Daphnia pulex: one gene and its partner. The protein of the gene in region 2 binds, or shares a complex with, the protein of the main gene of each other region. Links are inferred from orthologs where the notes say so. Each region holds a gene or a part of one and is shown on either strand. Other genes may lie near its edges.

The links. Proteins that work in one complex are often made in the same cells at the same time.
Region 1: FACT complex subunit spt16-like (region 2) and FACT complex subunit Ssrp1-like share a complex: the UniProt entries of both Drosophila melanogaster proteins name them as parts of the FACT complex. The link is inferred for Daphnia pulex from reciprocal best matches to the Drosophila melanogaster genes dre4 and Ssrp.

Annotation. Positions count from the first base shown.
Region 1 is NC_060026.1:11,624,438-11,636,399, reverse strand, and holds FACT complex subunit Ssrp1-like, read left to right. Parts: upstream 1-4,548; 5' UTR 4,549-4,716; coding exon 4,717-4,767; intron 4,768-4,839; coding exon 4,840-5,025; intron 5,026-5,092; coding exon 5,093-5,308; intron 5,309-5,375; coding exon 5,376-5,551; intron 5,552-5,608; coding exon 5,609-5,744; intron 5,745-5,820; coding exon 5,821-5,924; intron 5,925-5,986; coding exon 5,987-6,115; intron 6,116-6,188; coding exon 6,189-6,296; intron 6,297-6,359; coding exon 6,360-6,543; intron 6,544-6,603; coding exon 6,604-6,709; intron 6,710-6,761; coding exon 6,762-7,063; intron 7,064-7,133; coding exon 7,134-7,733; 3' UTR 7,734-7,835; downstream 7,836-11,962. Other genes in the region: matrix metalloproteinase-2-like, read right to left, coding at 1-129, 217-361, 458-912, 977-1,135, 1,213-1,340, 1,406-1,508, 1,568-1,629, 1,710-1,840 and 2 more; coiled-coil domain-containing protein 25-like, read right to left, coding at 3,231-3,312, 3,380-3,582, 3,640-3,819, 3,890-3,981, 4,044-4,116; uncharacterized protein LOC124205820, read right to left, coding at 8,700-8,819, 8,880-9,163, 9,231-9,435, 9,510-9,664, 9,738-9,993, 10,128-10,463. UniProt on the Drosophila melanogaster protein: Component of the FACT complex, a general chromatin factor that acts to reorganize nucleosomes. The FACT complex is involved in multiple processes that require DNA as a template such as mRNA elongation, DNA replication and DNA repair.
Region 2 is NC_060017.1:5,830,657-5,836,377, reverse strand, and holds the start of FACT complex subunit spt16-like, read right to left. Parts: upstream 4,515-5,721; 5' UTR 4,257-4,514; coding exon 4,188-4,256; intron 4,122-4,187; coding exon 3,861-4,121; intron 3,790-3,860; coding exon 3,641-3,789; intron 3,576-3,640; coding exon 3,422-3,575; intron 3,364-3,421; coding exon 3,215-3,363; intron 3,155-3,214; coding exon 3,040-3,154; intron 2,983-3,039; coding exon 2,683-2,982; intron 2,606-2,682; coding exon 2,570-2,605; intron 2,508-2,569; coding exon 2,331-2,507; intron 2,267-2,330; coding exon 2,174-2,266; intron 2,110-2,173; coding exon 2,007-2,109; intron 1,919-2,006; coding exon 1,720-1,918; intron 1,647-1,719; coding exon 1,265-1,646; intron 1,178-1,264; coding exon 995-1,177; intron 927-994; coding exon 795-926; intron 735-794; coding exon 565-734; intron 501-564; coding exon 63-500; intron 1-62. Other genes in the region: adenosine 5'-monophosphoramidase HINT3-like, read left to right, coding at 5,049-5,129, 5,339-5,456, 5,509-5,575, 5,637-5,721. UniProt on the Drosophila melanogaster protein: Component of the FACT complex, a general chromatin factor that acts to reorganize nucleosomes. The FACT complex is involved in multiple processes that require DNA as a template such as mRNA elongation, DNA replication and DNA repair.

The DNA.
Region 1 (11,962 bases), on a different chromosome or scaffold from region 2:
AAGTCTTTTTATTCTTGCCCCAAACGAAAGCGGCGTCTAGATGGTCTAGTCCGTCCGGTAGTCCGAGCCAGCTCAAATTCGAATTCTCTTCCACCATCCGGTCACCGTCAAATACCCAATAACTTGAACCTATTGAATATTTTTAAAAATAATTAATTAAATGTGTATACAATCTCTACCGGATGGCCAATCAAATTAAATTTTATTAATATATACCGGAAAAGAAGACAATGTGTCCATTAGGACGCTCGTACAGTGCGTCCACTTTGGGCAAGGATTCTGGAAGTTCGCGAAAGAGATGGCGGATGTGGGTTGGATATCCATCGTCTATTGCAGCTCTTTGACGGAGTCGCCAAACGTACTGCGAGCCAAAGGAATCACATTTCCAATTTGCACAGAAATATAGCTGCTGGGGGGTATAACTATTCAAATAGAGAAGTGTCCGGTATATACTTACTTGACCCTTGAAGAAGAACAGCTCGTTGCGGAGGACGGAAACGGCGTCAAAGTGGCCCTGGCAAATATCCGGAATCCTGGGTGATTGATCTTCGTTTGTGGCGTTCAACTTCCTGCGATGGTCATCCACCGTTTCGTAGTCGCCCTCGTAATTGATCGTCACCGTTCTCTCGGTCGTCGTCGTCGTCGTAATCTCTTCGTCCCTTACAAAAACGGTCGTCGCTTCCGTTTTCCCGCTTCCGCTTTTCGAACTGTGATCGTCGTCAACCTCGTTGTAGTCTTCGTAATCATCGTAGGGCGTTGTCGTCCTAGACGTGGGTCTTGTAGGCCTGGGCTGCGTCGTCGTGATGGTCGACACCTTCTCGGTGGTAGTTTGGGGTTTCGGCGTTGTGGTGGTAGTGGTGGTTGTCGTCGTTGTAACATCTTCATTCCGATCGTCGTGCACTTGCCTCGAAACTATATAATTTAATGAAAACAATTTTCAATTGATCGATGAATTGTGAGTGGCAAATTTCCTTACTGTAGAGCTGATACATTGCTAGAATGTCATCGTAATCCAATTGAAGATTCGGTTGCGATCCTTTGTAGTAGGGAAACATGACGGAGCCCGGCACGGGGGAATGTGCTAGTCCTAGGGAATGCCCTAGTTCGTGCGTTGCCACGGTGAAAAAGTCAATTCCTTATGAAATATTTAAAACGAAAAAGAAAATTGAATAACACAAATTTAGACTGGAAGTTTTATAAGAAGGGACTAACCGGAACCCTCGTCCGGGTTAACGGTCCACGGCTCGTCTTCATCGAAATGAACGTCGCCACCGAAATTGTCAAATTCATAAGGGTAGTAAGCATGGGCTAAGGTGTAACCAACACCGTCGAAAGGATACCTGCAATTTTTTGGTTTAATTCAATTGAAATAACTTGAACACATTTTATAGGTGAAATCTATAACCTATCGCCATGGTATCCGCGACCGAAAAGGATAGTGATGTCCGCGTCTGGAGTTGGTACTTGCACAAACTTGAGATGGGCATAATCCGACCATACCTTGAAGGCTAAAAAGATCAAATTAAAATAATCCCGAAAATGATAAAGTCACAAGAAACAAATTTACCTCTTTCAAGTTGTTGAATTGTCGTTTCTTCATCGCCTACTTTGGGCGACCAGTTAGCTAAACTTTCGAAACGCAAGGGAAATGAATAAATGATTAACAGTTGCAAAAAGGCTTGGTTGATTAGCTCTTAAAACATTCTTACAAGTAAGTGATTCTTCGTTTGTTCCAACCGGGTGCGCCGACCACGAACCTTTTCCTTCGCCGTCTGTTTGACTGCTGTTCGCTATTATCCAATTCCACGTCTTTGTTACCGCAACGAGGAGTCACCAGCAGCTTTATTACGTTAATGATAGGTTCAGATTACAATGTTACCAAATTTTCGTTAAGCGGAAAATGAACGGGAAACAAGTTCACGAACGGTTTCAGAGGGCAACAAATTTACTTGTAAGGTGTCGTTGTCCATCCTTCCAGTTGGCGAGAGACCCCCGAAACTCTGCATGGTTCTGATTGCATCAATCACGGCTTCTTCTCTGTACAAGGCTTCCGAGTTGGAATCCTGGCGGCCTTCTAGGTAACCAAATTTTTGCAGAAACCCCATCTTACCAAAAAATGAAAGGATTAAGATTAAATACGAACTTTAAATTTTTCGATTGTTTTGTTGGTTACATAATAAAACGAACGGGACACTTACAACTACGTTTACAGTCGCTCCTTCAACATTTCTTGGGGATGCAACGTTATGATTTTCCGTGGGTGAAACGTTCCGAATCGATTCCGGAGAGGACAAGTTTTGAGGATGGATTGACGCTGATGGTTTGGTGCTCACGGACAGGGATGAAAGCGGAGGCTGGGCGGTGGTGACGACGGCTGGAGCAGCTGCTTTTAGGCTAGAAGACTGGGGAATTTTTCTAGTGGCGTTAATTGGTTTAGAAAGTACTGGGGCGCAGTCAGAGCCCATAGAACACATCAGCCAAAACATCAGCAGAGACTTGAACGTTAACACGGAATTCGGCATTGCGCTCTACTCTAGTCGAGACGGAGTGGACGAAAGCACTCAGCATACACGACGGTATCCACTTGAAGACTGAATTCCGTCTCGAACGTTTTAAACTTGATGTCTCGGTTTCACTTTTGAGGTCAACTACCCGTCCAACAGATTCTGACGTCGCAGTAGGAAGGAAATAAATGTGAGAGGAAATCCGTATTCCTTAGAGATCCTGGTTTCGCTTCCGACTAATAAAATTAAATAAAAATTTCTGTTTGATTTCCTGAATGAAAACCAGAAGTCTTGGTTTACACCCATTTTCTTCCGCTTTCAGACGGAAGTTGCCAATCTTTTTGGGGGTGAGAATCACTTCCTGTGTTGCGCGACTCTGGTGCTCAGTGTGGTTTCGAAACAATATTTCAGTGGTAAACAATAACTATCGATGGGCATTTGATGACTTAGAGAGATCTGCTCGTCATCATAACCTTTGGCTAATGTAAACAAAATGTCAAGATCTGAAAATTGGTCATCTGGAATTAATCATAGCTATACTTATAATCTCCCTATATTAAAATATATTAAGAAATTATGTTTTATTTCCACATTTTTATTGACCAAGAGAAAACTCGAGTCAAGTGCGAGGAATATTTTAATAGCACATATACTTCATACGAAAAGGCTGATCGGTTTGTGATCGAGTTCGCATACACTCGGCTGGTTGTTAACGTAAGCGATTTCTTACATGAAGTCATCGGAATCGTTTCCATCATCATCTTTATTGGTCTTCATGTTCGTTTGCTTCAGCAAGCGATCGTAGCTCCTAAACATGTAAAAATTAACATTTCTGTGTAAAAAAATAAATATAGTGTTTAGTAAATCAAGGTCACCTTAGTTCAGCTTCATCCTTTTTTCGCTTTTCTTCTTCTCTCTCCCTTTCTTTTTGTTCTTTAAGGAGCCTTTTCTTGTCGTCTCTTTCTGCACAGTCTCTCTGTTCTCTTTCAAACCTTAAATCAGGTTTTTTCTCAACTTTGGTTTTGTTGAGACGGTTTACAATTTCATTAATTCTTTTCTCCACCCTAATCTTGCGAACCTATAAAACTTGATTGTTAGATAATGGATAGGAACACATTAAGAAGGAAATCTGTACATCTTTTTCTTTGTGAAATCCAACTTGTCCAACTTCCATACCAGGAGTCTTTTTCAAATTAGACCACAGGGTGTAAACAACATCAATGTTGTTCATTTTATTCCCTTGGATGCTGTTCGCTTTACATAATTGTGCTGCATCTTCTAAAATGGCTGCTGGAATATCATCAATTACTTGACCCTACAAATAAGAATAGTAACAGAGCTGTATTAAAAATTGTTTTATTTGATTTAATAAAAAAAACCCTTACCTTGTTTAGTCGTATGTAAACATGGGCTGACGATAGCTTGTCAACGTGGAACCAAACATCTTCAGGCCATCCCCACTTGATCAACTCCTCATCTAGTTGTTACTACAAGGATTAATAATCCCATTTTATATCTTACTGATTGATTACTTCTTACTTTCATGTTTTTCTTCTCCCATGAAAAGTGCGCAACTGGGTTGAACGGCGGTGCTGACGAAATAGAAAACCATTTTAAATCTTAAAAATATAGTCAACTAATTTGAGAGGGCCAGCGAGAAAACATTCAGATCCAAATTCCAATTTTTTAACACGTGGATATACTATTTTCTACAATAGTAAATGCAACTTGACAATCCGCCTTGCGGCTGACAGTACTTCGGATAACACTAGAAGAATACGGTCGATCCCTCTTGACCACTTTTTGATCTTTTGATCATGTAAAGCTCTAGAAAATCTATGGTAGTGAGTGCCATCTGGAGTCTCAACATTGTAGAATCCACATTCCACAATCCTGAAATCCTATCCAATCCAATCAACGAAAAATCCTCTTCCCCAGTTTAAATTTCTACTTAAAAATAATTTTTCTATTAAACTATGATTTATTTCAAATGTTCAAATACGGTATCAAATATCTTTAAAATCTAGCGTTGCCCAAACGAGTTTCACTGGCAACGCTTTATGGCCATTCCTTATACTTCTCCGCTCGGCGCGAAGTAAAATAACCGACTGCTGGTGTTTTACATTGTTACGATTATTCTCTTGCTTTCCAGCTCGTCTAGTTGGATTTTTATTCATTTCGCCAATCGGGATTACAATTTTTTCGTTGTGTGATGGATTTTTTAGAGTTCTCTGATGTTTCAGCTGAAATTAAAGGCTCAATGGTAAGAGGCTCGCTAAATTGTCATATCGGCTGCACGTGAATCTTCTTCTATTGACAAAATTTTTTCTTCTAGACTCCAGGCCGTCTAAAACTAACGGATCAGAGTATCGTGTTCAAGAATTCCAAAACGGGTAAAGTTGAACAGATAAGTTCTTCTGACATTGAATTGGTTAACTGGCAGCGACTAGCTGGTGCTTGGGGACTACGTGTATTTCTCAGAACCGGAGCACTTCATCGCTATGGTGGATTTAAAGATTCAGTAAGTAATTTTTTAACATTTGAAAGCTTTTTTATTTTCAATTTCCTATTAATTTGGTTTTGTCTAGGATCAAGACAAGCTGGCAAAGTTTTTTACTCAAACCTACAAAAAAGACATGCTGGAGAAAGAGCTGAGTGTCAAAGGATGGAATTGGGGCCGTGCTGAGTTCAGTGGTTCAACTATGTCTTTTGAAGTTGGAAACCATACTGCCTTTGAGATTCCTCTAAGCAATGTGTCCCAATGCACAACAGGGAAAAATGAAGTCACCTTAGAATTCCATCAGGTGGGTACTATTATGACAAACAATGCTGCAGACATCTTACCTACTGCTTTATTTTCTCTAAAACTAGAATGATGATGCATCAGTCAGTCTGATGGAGATGCGTCTCTTCATTCAGTCCAATGATCAAGGTGGAGATGATGCTGTTGAAGCATTCCAGAAGCAGGTGATGCCTAAAGCAAGTGTCATCAGTGCTACTGGTGATGCAATTGCCATCTTCAGAGAAGTTCAGTGCCTCACACCAAGGTATTTTCTATCATTTGTACTTAAAACATTTGCTCATTTAGTTTTTATCCTTGACAGAGGTCGCTATGACATCAAAGTTTTCCAATCATTCTTTCAACTTCATGGTAAGACATTTGACTACAAGATTCCAGCCTCTACTGTACTTCGCCTGTTTTTACTTCCGCACAAAGATGGTCGGCAAATTTTCTTTGTAGTAAGTTACACATCTCTGAAAAAGAAATTAAGAAAAGAATCATCATTAATCTACATATTTTTATTGTGTAATTCAGGTAAGCCTTGATCCACCTATTAAGCAAGGTCAGACGCGTTACCACTTTTTGGTCCTTCTCTTTAACAAAGATGAGGAGACATCTTTTGAAATACCATTATCAGAGTGAGTAATTTTGAATAATTCAACATTTTCAACACGTCATCAAAAAACGTTTGTCCTAACAGGGAGGAATTGAAAGAAAAGTTTGAAGGCCGACTTTCTCGTGATTGTAATGGTCCAACTTATGAAGTTATGAGTACCGTCATGAAGGCCATGGTTAACCGAAAGGTCACTATACCTGGAAATTTTACTGGGTAAAATTTTATATTTTCATTTCAAGTGTTCTAGACTGATTTCACAGTTTCCTTCTTTTTTAATTATTTATAGCCATTCTGGAACCCCCGCTGTTGGATGTTCCTACAAAGCAGCAGCCGGATACTTGTATCCGCTAGAACGTGGTTTTATTTACGTTCATAAACCTCCTATTCACATTCGGTAGAATTCGTTTCCCTGAAATTTTTGTTTGCATATTTTTTAATTTATTCTTCCTTCGCACAGATTCGAAGAAATTGCAAGTGTTAACTTTGCTCGTGGCGGAGGAAGTACCCGTTCTTTTGACTTCGAAGTTGAGACCAAAAATGGGGTTGTTCACACCTTCAGTAGCATTGAAAAGGAGGAATATAACCGCTTGTACGATTTCGTAAACAACAAGAAGCTCCGCGTCAAAAATACTGGCCGATCCGTAAGATCTAGCAACCCATTGATAGTGTTTGTACTAATCAGTTTTTGTTGTACGTAATAGGACAAGTCCGCTCATGGGGATGATTTTGGCGATTCGGACGAAGAGGAAGCGCCCGACGCATATTTGGCTCGTGTCAAGGCTGAAGGCAAACAGCGTGACGCAGTTGGTACGTTTTCCTTGCTTAACGAAACAAAAGCCTTTCCACTAACATGTGCCAGTTGCAGGTGACGATTCGGGTGGAGATTCTGATGAAAATGACGAAGACTTCAAACCTGGTGAGGAAAGTGACGTAGCAGAAGAATACGACTCCAATGTGGCTACGACCGACTCGGAAGCATCCGACGCATCAGGTGGAGCCAAGGCTAGTAGTGCTGCGAAGGCTAGTAGTGCTGCCAAGGCTGGCAGTGGTTCTGGCAGTGATTCCGATTCCTCGTCCAAAAAGAAGAAAAAGAAGGACAAAAAAGAGGAGAAGGAGAAAAAGGAAAAGGAACCCAAGAAATCCAGTAGCTCGAAATCGGCGGTAATATCATCTTTCAATTTGCCAATAATTTCAGAATTAAAGTTTTTATCGTTTATTAATTTTGTTGTAGGCCCCTAAAACTCCCAGATCGCACAAATCCAAGAAGGATAAGGATGCAAACAGGCCCAAACGACCACAGTCGTCGTACATGCTGTGGTTGAACGACTCACGCGAACAGATTAAAAAAGATAACCCTGGCATAAGTGTCACAGATCTGATGAAAAAAGGTGGCGAAATGTGGCAGAAGGTTGAAGATCGATCTATATGGGAAGCCAAAGCTAAAGTTGCTAAAGAGGCCTATGATAAGGCTATGAAAGAATATACTGCGTCTGGAGGAGGATCGGCAGTTGCTAGCAGTTCTTCCAAAAGCAAGGACAAAGAGGAGAAAGCCGCCAAGTCGTCCAAGTCCTCTAGCAAGTCGTCAACCAAAACGCCAACTAAAACGCCAACCAAAGCTGCTAAAACAACTCCAGTTAAATCTCCTGGCGACTTCAAAAGTAAGGAATACATCAGCACCGACGAAGAATCCTCCTCAGCGTCTGAAGGCGCCAAGAAGAAGTCCAAGGGCTCCAGCAAGAAGACTGACAAGAAAAAGGTTGAAAAAGAAGAAAGCGAGGAAGAAGAAATGGAAAGTGAACCAGAGTCCAGCGATGTGGCTGACAGCGATTGAAGTGGGTGTATCACATTATAGTGTCATAAAAACGTTATTATAAAGGCGTCCGTTGTAGCTGCGTTCTCCGTTATAATACAATGTAATTTCGTTTCTTTATAATCGCCTTTCTCGACTAGTCGACTACATGTGGATGAAATGTTTGAAGACCGAAGTAGAAACTTCCATATTCCCTACATCAAACTAGTTCCCGATCCTTTTAAAAATAAAATGTTGACCACTGAGTAAAGTTAACCAAGCGGACAGATTAAATATAGTCTCGATTGCCACAAAAGTTGAACCATTTCAGTCTAATTTGGTTAAGTTCTCTGAACTGACTACCAAACCTCCGAAAGAGATTTTTTTAGCTAACCCAATACGAAGTTTGGGTCTACGTGATAAACGTATCTATTACGGTAATAGATACGTTAAGTATTACCCAGTATTAAACACAAAACCCCTGAAACATTCTCATCCTCTCGAGATGGTATTCAATTATGTACAACTGTATGTAGAAAAAATGCATTTCAACCTAACTTCATTTTGTTTATTTCTAAAAAACAATTAAATTTCTTTACTACACAAATTCATTTACAGTTCAAAGGGAGTCGACGATTTCCTCCTCCAACATGAAACCAGTGAAATGGGTGTGGTGGAAATTGTCATCGTGCAAATACGCTCCTGACGAAAGGTAAGAAATTTCTAACCAGACTGTATCTCCTTTTTGTAAGTTTAGAGTCGACTGGAGGGTCACAGGGCTCCATTGATTAGCGGAGACGAAAATGGAATCTTGAACCGACGCGAGTCCAATTCGATTGCCGTTCAAAAAAAGAGAGACTTGTAAACCGAATTCATTTTTCACACTATACGATGATAAGCAAGAATCAGAGCAAGCAGGAAAAAACGCCAGTCCCGCGAAGGAGAAGAAATAAGTTCCCTTGACGGATGCCTTGAATTTTCCTGATGGGTTCATGGCCTTTCCGACGTTTACTTGCTCAAAATCAAACGTAATTGGGGTGTTGGGCTTGTTGAATTTTTGGTTTCTCTGAACGTAAAAATATGTTGGCACCGATTTGACGTCAATGTATCCAATAAATTTCTCGAAACCTTTTCGTAATAAATCAGTTTTAAATTGAATAAATAATTAATGCAAAACAAATATTTTACCGGGATCTTGAAAAAATCGGTGAAATCACAATAAACAGATTCCATCATTTTATGTCCTTTGATGGAAAAGAAACCGCTCAGGGTGTAACCCATATCCTTTAGATCATCACAGGACGTTGGCATTGGAGTAGCGATTTCTGCAGGTTTTGTCGAGGGTTCTGGCTGTCTGGAATATCCGGAGCATGTCAAATTGCCCAGTGTGTGGATACCGGAGGAAGATTGCGATTGAGTTCGACCAAAATGAAGGCGAGTGATTGGTAAAATATTTTTGTCAGTGATAACACCTGAACGAATCAAAATGTTTTTGAGACATATTATTTTTAAAATTTTCTGATGACATGACTGATTTACCTTTGTCGGATAACTGCCGTTGTGCGAGACTGTCACAGTTGCACATGACTGAAGAAACGGCACAATTCCCATCAATTCCACACTGACAGGTGGGAATTCCATATGCGTTGTTTCCGGCCCAGAAATATTGTGAATTCCCATTTCTGTCGTTCCACCAGGAGTACATGGTATTTTCCAATTTGTGCGGCGCGTTGAAGCAATCGTACTGGGATACATTAAAAATTATGATAAATTCCCTTAACAGGATAGCTACGGTATTCAGATACCAACGAAACTTACTGTGATCGACTGACGGCATTCACTAGACAAATCGGTCAAAGCTTTTATTTGTGCCATGGACGCTTCATATTTGATGGAACGCGAATAACATCCGGCCCCTGCGCAGTGATCCACGTTGATAGGAGCGAGACTATCGTGTTTAATTGTGGTCGATCCTTATTTTTAAGTAAAGAAAAGTGAATGTCTTTTTTTGTTTCAATTAGCGAAGGAAACACAAATTCATTTTACCTGTTGTCATGTCGCAGTACACGTAAATTGGAGTTTCGCCGACGCCTTGTCCGTCCGGATCGATCCATTGCATTCCGGATGGAATCGAAACATCCATTGCACGGATTTCTGCGCACGTTCTGCGGATCTCACCCATGGGAATATCTGGTATTTTACGCGCGATCTGATCAAATATGGAAGGTAAAATCTTTTCGAGTGTTTTCACTTTGGTCTCCAGTTCCGCTACGTTCTTCAACAAATCTTGTTGTTTTGCATTCTGTTGTAGAAATAGACGCATGTTTTGTTTTATTCCCCAAAAAATAAATGATCAAATTAATCTATCCATTATAGTTAGCCACGAAAAGGTTAAAAGAAAAAGGGTGAAGCTAAGTATATAGAGATTAAACGTACACTGTTGTCGAGTTGATTCTTCAGTTTCTTTACCAGATTTTCAAGTTCTCCAATTTTAGTCTGAACATCGTCTGGCTTGGTCGACTTAGCTGGCTCGGCTTTCTTGATTTTGTTGGGCTTACGCGGCTTGTTGACTAGGCCTAGTTTATTGGCCGACTTGTCTCCTGGCTTACCTGCTGTCTTACCTACTTGCTTGTCTCCTGGCTTCTCCGTCTTGACTTCTGACTTGGCCGTCTTGCCTGAGTCGCCTTGAGCATCAACAGTACCGAAAGAAAAACAAATAATAGAGCAACATAAAATTAATAACACGGGGATAGAGAAACGAATCATTTTCATTCTTTCCGTCTTAATCTAACTGGCTCTGGTCACAATTTGGTGTTTCAATATATAGCCATTTCAGAGCCGAGCGTTGGATCCGGAGTATGATTCTTGCCCGTTTTTATGTCAGGTTTTTATCTTAAATGGATTATACATGTAATAAAACATACTTTAAGCTTTAAACGTTTCTATCTGAACATTTATAGCTATTGCCGTTGTGCAATGTCCATGAGGTTTGTTTTAACGTTAAAAATCTTCAGAAACATCAACACAAAATATTTGACGAAACTAGACGAAGATTATAACCACATGTTGAAACCTATTTTTTAAAATTAATGATTGATATTATTATTTATTATCCAATTGGTGTTGGTTTAGAATTTGCTGCATATTTTTCAATCTACTAAAGACAGTTTTAACTTTGGCTTTGAGTAGTGTGCAATCTACGGCCTCCTTTGAGATTACGCAAGTATGTGATAAGAAAACTGTAGATGAGAATAAACCTACAGGCTACAGTACATGTATGAAGTCGATAAGTACATAAAGTTCATAAACTTTATGCTTATTTCTGATTGTTTCACAGCCGCTGTAACAGCTTATAGGATTATAACTCGGAATCGTCGATAAGCCTATGGACCCCATATATATATAACAATTAAATGTGTGGCTATGTGGAATTTTTTAAAAACAAGATAACAAGATAAAACTTTGCTCTGCACTTTATGGGCGTCTGGGTGGAAAACAGGTGGGCTGCAACAGGACGACAAGGAATTCGACGATGAAAAAAAAATATATTATTTGTCCAATTTTTTTATTTTTTAAAATCATTTAATCGCATGTAATCGCAAAATTCGCAACCAGTAAAAAAGCAAAACGTCCACGTATTCTGTTCACTAGAGTTTCGATGTAGGCCTTTTAGATGGAAGTCCCGACAGACATTCCAAAACACAGCAAGACAAATTTACTTTTATTACGTAACCGATGGTTATGAGCACTATATTGTGAATTATCCAGGGCTGTAATGCAAGGCGGAGGACTATCTTGTTTGAGACTACCCCAATAAATCGGGAACACAACAATACAATAACTGGCTGTTATTATGTTAGTATACCATCATGTATACAGCTGTTACCATTCATATAGAATCAGACGTTCCCACATATCAGCGACCCTTGCAATCACATGAACCTCATTACGTGTCTTGAATGAAAGAATGACGATGAGCCTTTAAATTATTCGTTGTTGCTACCCGTAATTTTTATATTTTGAATGAATAATTATTCATTAATTGAAATCAGACAAAGAGATTGGATATGACGAGTTTTATTTAGGTATGTGACAATTTCATGTAGCAGTTATATATTCAGATATTCAAAAATTGTCTGGTGCGTTTCCCTAGTTTGAAAAATGACTGGGAGACCGACGTAGAGATCTGTTTATAGTCGGAACTTCCCTGGTTCGTAAGATCGTAACATACGTACTGATTAGCAGAATCTGTTGATAGCAAACGTTGTATA
Region 2 (5,721 bases):
AAACGTCGAAGAAAGCAACGTTATTGAAGATTGTAACGGTAAAACACTTGCAATCACTATACCTTTTAGATGGAGGTGGGGGTGCAGCACCTTTTCCCCCACGGCTTCTTGAGTATTCATCCTCAAAATTGACGTTCTCTCTATCGGCTTCGGCAGCTTCACGTTCAAGATCAGACCAGTCTTTACCCGACTCGTCGGAGCTACCGCCACCACCTTCTTCACTGCCCGAGTCACTATCGTCTGACATATCAGACGAATCTGCTTCTGAATATTCGCTGTCAGATTCATCATCCTCTTCATCATCGACGTCGGTCGGAGCGTATTCATCTTCCTCAGAGTCTTCCTCGTCAGATCCCCTTCCACCTTCACTGCCCGATTCGGGGTCAAGGAAAGTCCATCCTCCGGTATCAAAAAAAGCTTCTGGATCATCCGTAATCGTTTTCATAATTTTTGACCAGTTCAAGGATTGAACTCCCTCTGTATAACGAATATCGCACGAACTAAACAGAGATGAACAATAAAGAATCAACAGGACATTACACAAAGATGTCTGAATTTCTTTACTTGAGCCACTCCTTGACATGATCGAGCATGTTCATCGGTACGGCATTCACCATGGCCACTTTTCGATGATAATTTTTGAAAACGAAGACCATATCGAAGTTCTTCAAATGGAACTGAACACGTTCGAAATGGACAAGTTCCATGTCTTCCAGTGAAATGACGAAAGGAGGCTAAACAAATGAAATCATTGTTAATATTACCATTATAATTATAAAAAATTGTCAACCTACCCATTCTACTAAGTTTACGAGACATCCTGAAGTGGGTTGAAGGAGAACTGTACTGCGGAAAGGTACACCAGGGAAACCAAGTTCACGGAAAGGAGCATCAAATTCAACCTCGTTCCTAGTCATGGTTTCAACCTTAATTTTTTTGGAATTCGTTAAAAAAGGATCACAGACAATTAGAATTTCATTTAACAAGACCGTACCTTCTCACAGAATGTTTTGAAAGCAGTTTTCAATTTATGTCTTAACTCTCGTTCGGCCTGTTCTGCAGCCAGATCGTCGCGGTCGTGCATGTGTTGATGTTTGCCAAGATCAGTAGTGATTTCACCTACTTCGGTGTAAAACTGGACATCATTGTGCTTTTTCTTTCCAAACATGATGGCATTCTGAAATGTAAAGTGATAGTTTTGATATATATCGTTGGTTATATACTATGCCTAGTAATGTAGAAAAACTGAAAGGAAAAAACATACCTTGAGATGAAAGTGCAGAAGAATAATCATCTCACCATCACACGGTTGAAAGATAGCATGTCGAATATTATTGTAGAGGATGTCTACTTTATCTCCTCTTACGGATGTGTAACGAAATCCATTAGTATGCGCCTCCAGTGAACCCAAAATTCTTTTCTGAGCTACATTTGGTCTGATGTAGAGATCCTTTAATTTAGGATTGGCTTTGTTTTGAGAAAGAAGCAGGGTGTCTTGCTTAACCAAATCTTCCTTTTCTTTTTCCTCAGCTTCACGTGTTTTAAATCGCTTTTGCACTTCTTTGATTAAACGGAACGCCGTGTTAAGATTTGAAGAGGGAGATGACAGTTCTCCAGGTTCTTTGATGTTGGTGCTTCGGTATGTACTAAACGTTCATTTAAAAAATGTAATATTATATAAATGAAAAGAAACAAAAATGAAACTTTTCTTGATAATACATTTCTTTGAGGAATGTGGCTTCAGGGTTTGGAAACGCAGCTGTTTCAGCTCTACCCATGGTTGCACCCGGGTGGAAAAAGTTTATACGCAAGTAAGTATAGTCTCCTTCGACACTTTGACTGATGTTCTTTATAGTCGAAATGTGAAAAGGAACTGGAATTCCGTAAATGGGCATGATGACCGTTTCGTACTTTCGATCTACAATATTAAATGTGGAATTATTCATTCTTTGTAGCACATATTTGAGAGCACACATTCAAAAATATTTGAGAAATTATGGGCTTACCAACATATAACTTCAATTCCTTCACTTCATCTTCTTTTGGCAAATCTTTCCCGGATTTGTATGACACGGTAGATTTCCGGATCTTATCGCCTTCCAAGCGTCCCTAAAACCAAATCAGATTTTAATGTTATTCTTTTGCACATTTATTTTCTTTTTGTCTTCTTTACCTTCTGCTGAGCAAGCCGAAGTTTGGCTTCTTCATTTAGATGAGAAGCCAATTCTTTTTGATGTTGCTTACGTTTTTCTTCGGTAGATGTTTCCTGAAAGAAACACAAATTATAAATTATAACAATGGAAAATGATAAGAAGAAAAGTACTATGTACCCGAAGTTTAGAATCAAGAATAGCGGTCCGCTTGCCTCGACCTAAATTCTGGGGCTGTCGTGATGGCTTTTCTTCGTCCTCTTCCTCCTCCTCTTCTTCCTCTCCAGATTCATCTTTAAGGAATATACCGATATTCTTAATCCTTTTTTTCGAAGCAGTAAGTATAGTAGCTGGACCCTAAAAATAATGTTACTCGTCAAAAAAACAAGTAGAAGAAAAAGTTCAAAATTATAACTTACATCGGATACAATAACAGTGTCGCTCAAAAACAAAGCCTAATATTTTAAAAATAAAATAATATATATTTAAATAAACAAATAAATAAATAAATATTATTAATTTATATAAATACATATTTCTTATAGCGATCATCGGTGCCATCAGAATTTTCCAAGTCAGCAAATCCAAGATTGACATTGAAGACCATTCCTTTTTTGACAACTGCGTTATTCTTCGGGCCGATCACCAAAGAGCTTTCTCGAAATTCAATTCCGGTAACAAAGCCAAGGGTTTTTGTCATCTTGTCAAGAAGGGCTGGTTTTTCTTTCTTTACGTATGCCTCAGCAGCATTATAAACATCGCTAAACTTTGCTCCTTCGACGAGAGATTTCAAAATTTCGTCTTCAACCGATAACAAGAAGTTGTATGTCTCCTACAAGTTCATAAGAATGTAATCTAGACTCATTTATGGAAATATCTTTTTCTTTACCTGCATCTTTTCAGTGGGGTTGACAAGAAGGGTTCGACCAATATTGGAGCAGTAAGATTTGTAACGTGCTCCTAAAAGACAAACAATTGCTCCAAAATGAAGGGGTTTATCATCACTGTGAAATAAAAAGAAGCATTAATGTATTCACATAAAGTTTGCTAATTGATAGATGTACCTCACTGCACTAAATTTCAGGCTGTAATTCCCTCCACTTTGAATTATGGCTGGATAACACATATCAACTTGACCCGTATCGACACCAGAAACATATTTCTTGTCAGTGGCTGCGTTCTCCACTCCTTCGGCTAATTTTGAATGTTTGACCTTGACAAATAAATTCAAATTAAGTCCCATTGAAAAAAAAATAATAAATTTTTCAAACCTTTTTATCTGCATCTACAATTTCCATAACCTGTTCTTTTAAATATTTGTTGAATAAATCAACAGATACTTGACATGCTTTCTTGATCACATTCAGTTCAGATTCTTCTTTAGGAGCCATCATATAAGCTGCCCCAGAACTAACATCAACTGTCCTGAAAATATGATTTCACACATTGTTATCTATATATTTCTAATAACACTTTCTAATGTTTCTTACTCAAATTTTTCTTTCTTGATGGCATTGTTCCATGCATCCATGAACTCTCCATGAAAACTGTCTTTTGAGAACACTCCAAGCTTTTTTCCTTTTTTAGATTTTTTCAATGCTTCAATAAGTTTCACAAAATTGGCTTTATCTTTGTCGCTCTAAAAAAATAGAAAAATTTCTTTGTTGAAGTTCCATGTTTCTAACATGGAAAATATGTATCATGATTTACTTTGTCACGAATCAACAGCTTAACAGCGGGCAAGCCTTTCTCTTCTTTAATTGCCTCCAGCGGGCGTAAGAAATCTATCTTCTTCTTACTTGCAAGGAAATAGATGGAATCTTCACACAGAGCCATAACTGTATCAGTCAATTCATATCCAAGAAGCCATGATTGTAAAGCAGATGTTTTGCTGTACACAACTTCCTCATCCGCCCCCAAAGCTGTGACCAATGCATCCATATCAGCAAACCCAAGTTCAGAGTCTTCATTCTATAAGATATTATATCATTGCATGAAATGAAATCCAACTGTCATGGTTGTTTGACGCCAACTTACCTTCCAAGACGAATAGAATCGCTTTATCCTTCGAAAGAACACCTCTCTATCTGCAGCGAGACTTCCCATTTTCAGTAACAAATGGGATCATCCAAGTCGAATGGGAAACTGCAATATTTCAACTTGAAACTACGAATCTGGAATGGCGAAATTGTACTGAGGTTCGTTACAAAAAACTGCCAGACCGTTTACCCAACGCAACCCATGCTTTTCCCTCTAAAAAGCAGAATGAAGTTCATAAAGACCTGGGCGTTGCCAACTATGATTTTAATAATAATATTATCCATTGATTTTTCAGAAATATCAGAGCAATAGATACCTGGTCGGTTCTCGGCCGTGTTGGCTTCCCCATCTCGATTTTAGGGTAAACGTGGTCCGATTTTCAGGGGGTTTTAGGGCGGGGCCTGTCATTGGAAACTAGAAACAGAGCCATCTAGGCTCTCAAAAGTAGCTGAGCGTAGTAGCTGACACACTCACTAGAGCGCTCATTCCAGTTTCCAAATCGGACCACGTTTACCCTGAAACCGGGATAGGGAAGCCAACACAGCCGAGAACCGACCAGGGATTCTATAGCTCTGGAAATATGCATATTTTTTTATTTTTTTTAAGATTTTTATGCTACAGGATATTTATGTCCTACTGCATGAATCTAAGTGAATACTTCGAATTCGAAATCATGACAAACAACTTGTTGCTTTTCGGAATTTGGCATCCTTACAGAATTGCAGACTACGCGAAAAGTCCATTCCCTCAGTCAGTGTCAATATTTTTACGTATGACTGAACTAAACAGTACAATCGGCCAGTGCACCTATCTTCAAAAAAAAACAAACAAACAAACAAACAGTACAATTCCCTAAAAATGGTTTCAGTACAAAAGTCCATCAAATGCATTTTTTGCCAGATTTGTGAAGGTCTGGCGCCAGCAACTATCGTTCATCAGGTTAAGGCTCTTCCTCTCTCATTTTTGACCAATTAAATTATGCGTTTTGTAGCAAATAGGTTTATTTTCTTCCAGGGAATCAATTAATCTAATGTAGACTAGCTATTACCTGAAAATCACAGTAAGAAATGGCTTAGATATATTAAAATAAGGTACTTAATAAGATAAAGATATACATTTCCTAATGCTGTATTTCCTTTCATAAATAGGATGTAAAATATTTGGCTTTTAATGACATCAAACCATCTGCTAAAAACCACCTTCTAGTCATTCCTAGAGATCACATCAATGATATTAAAAGTCTTACCATAGAAACAGTCAGCATGGGTAAATTGCCTGATTATCAATTCAAATAAACTTATCAATATTTTTTTATTAGTTGAAGAAATGGTAGCTGTAGGACAGCAACTTGTGAAGAATCATGGAGGAGACTTGAGTGATTGCAGGTATCATATGGATTCTTACCCTCATAAAAAATTGGTAGTAATGATTTCAACTAAATTGTAGAATGGGATTTCATTGGCCTCCTTTTAATTCTATTAAACATCTGCACCTACACGTGATATTTCCTGAGAGTGCTATGAGTTTTATA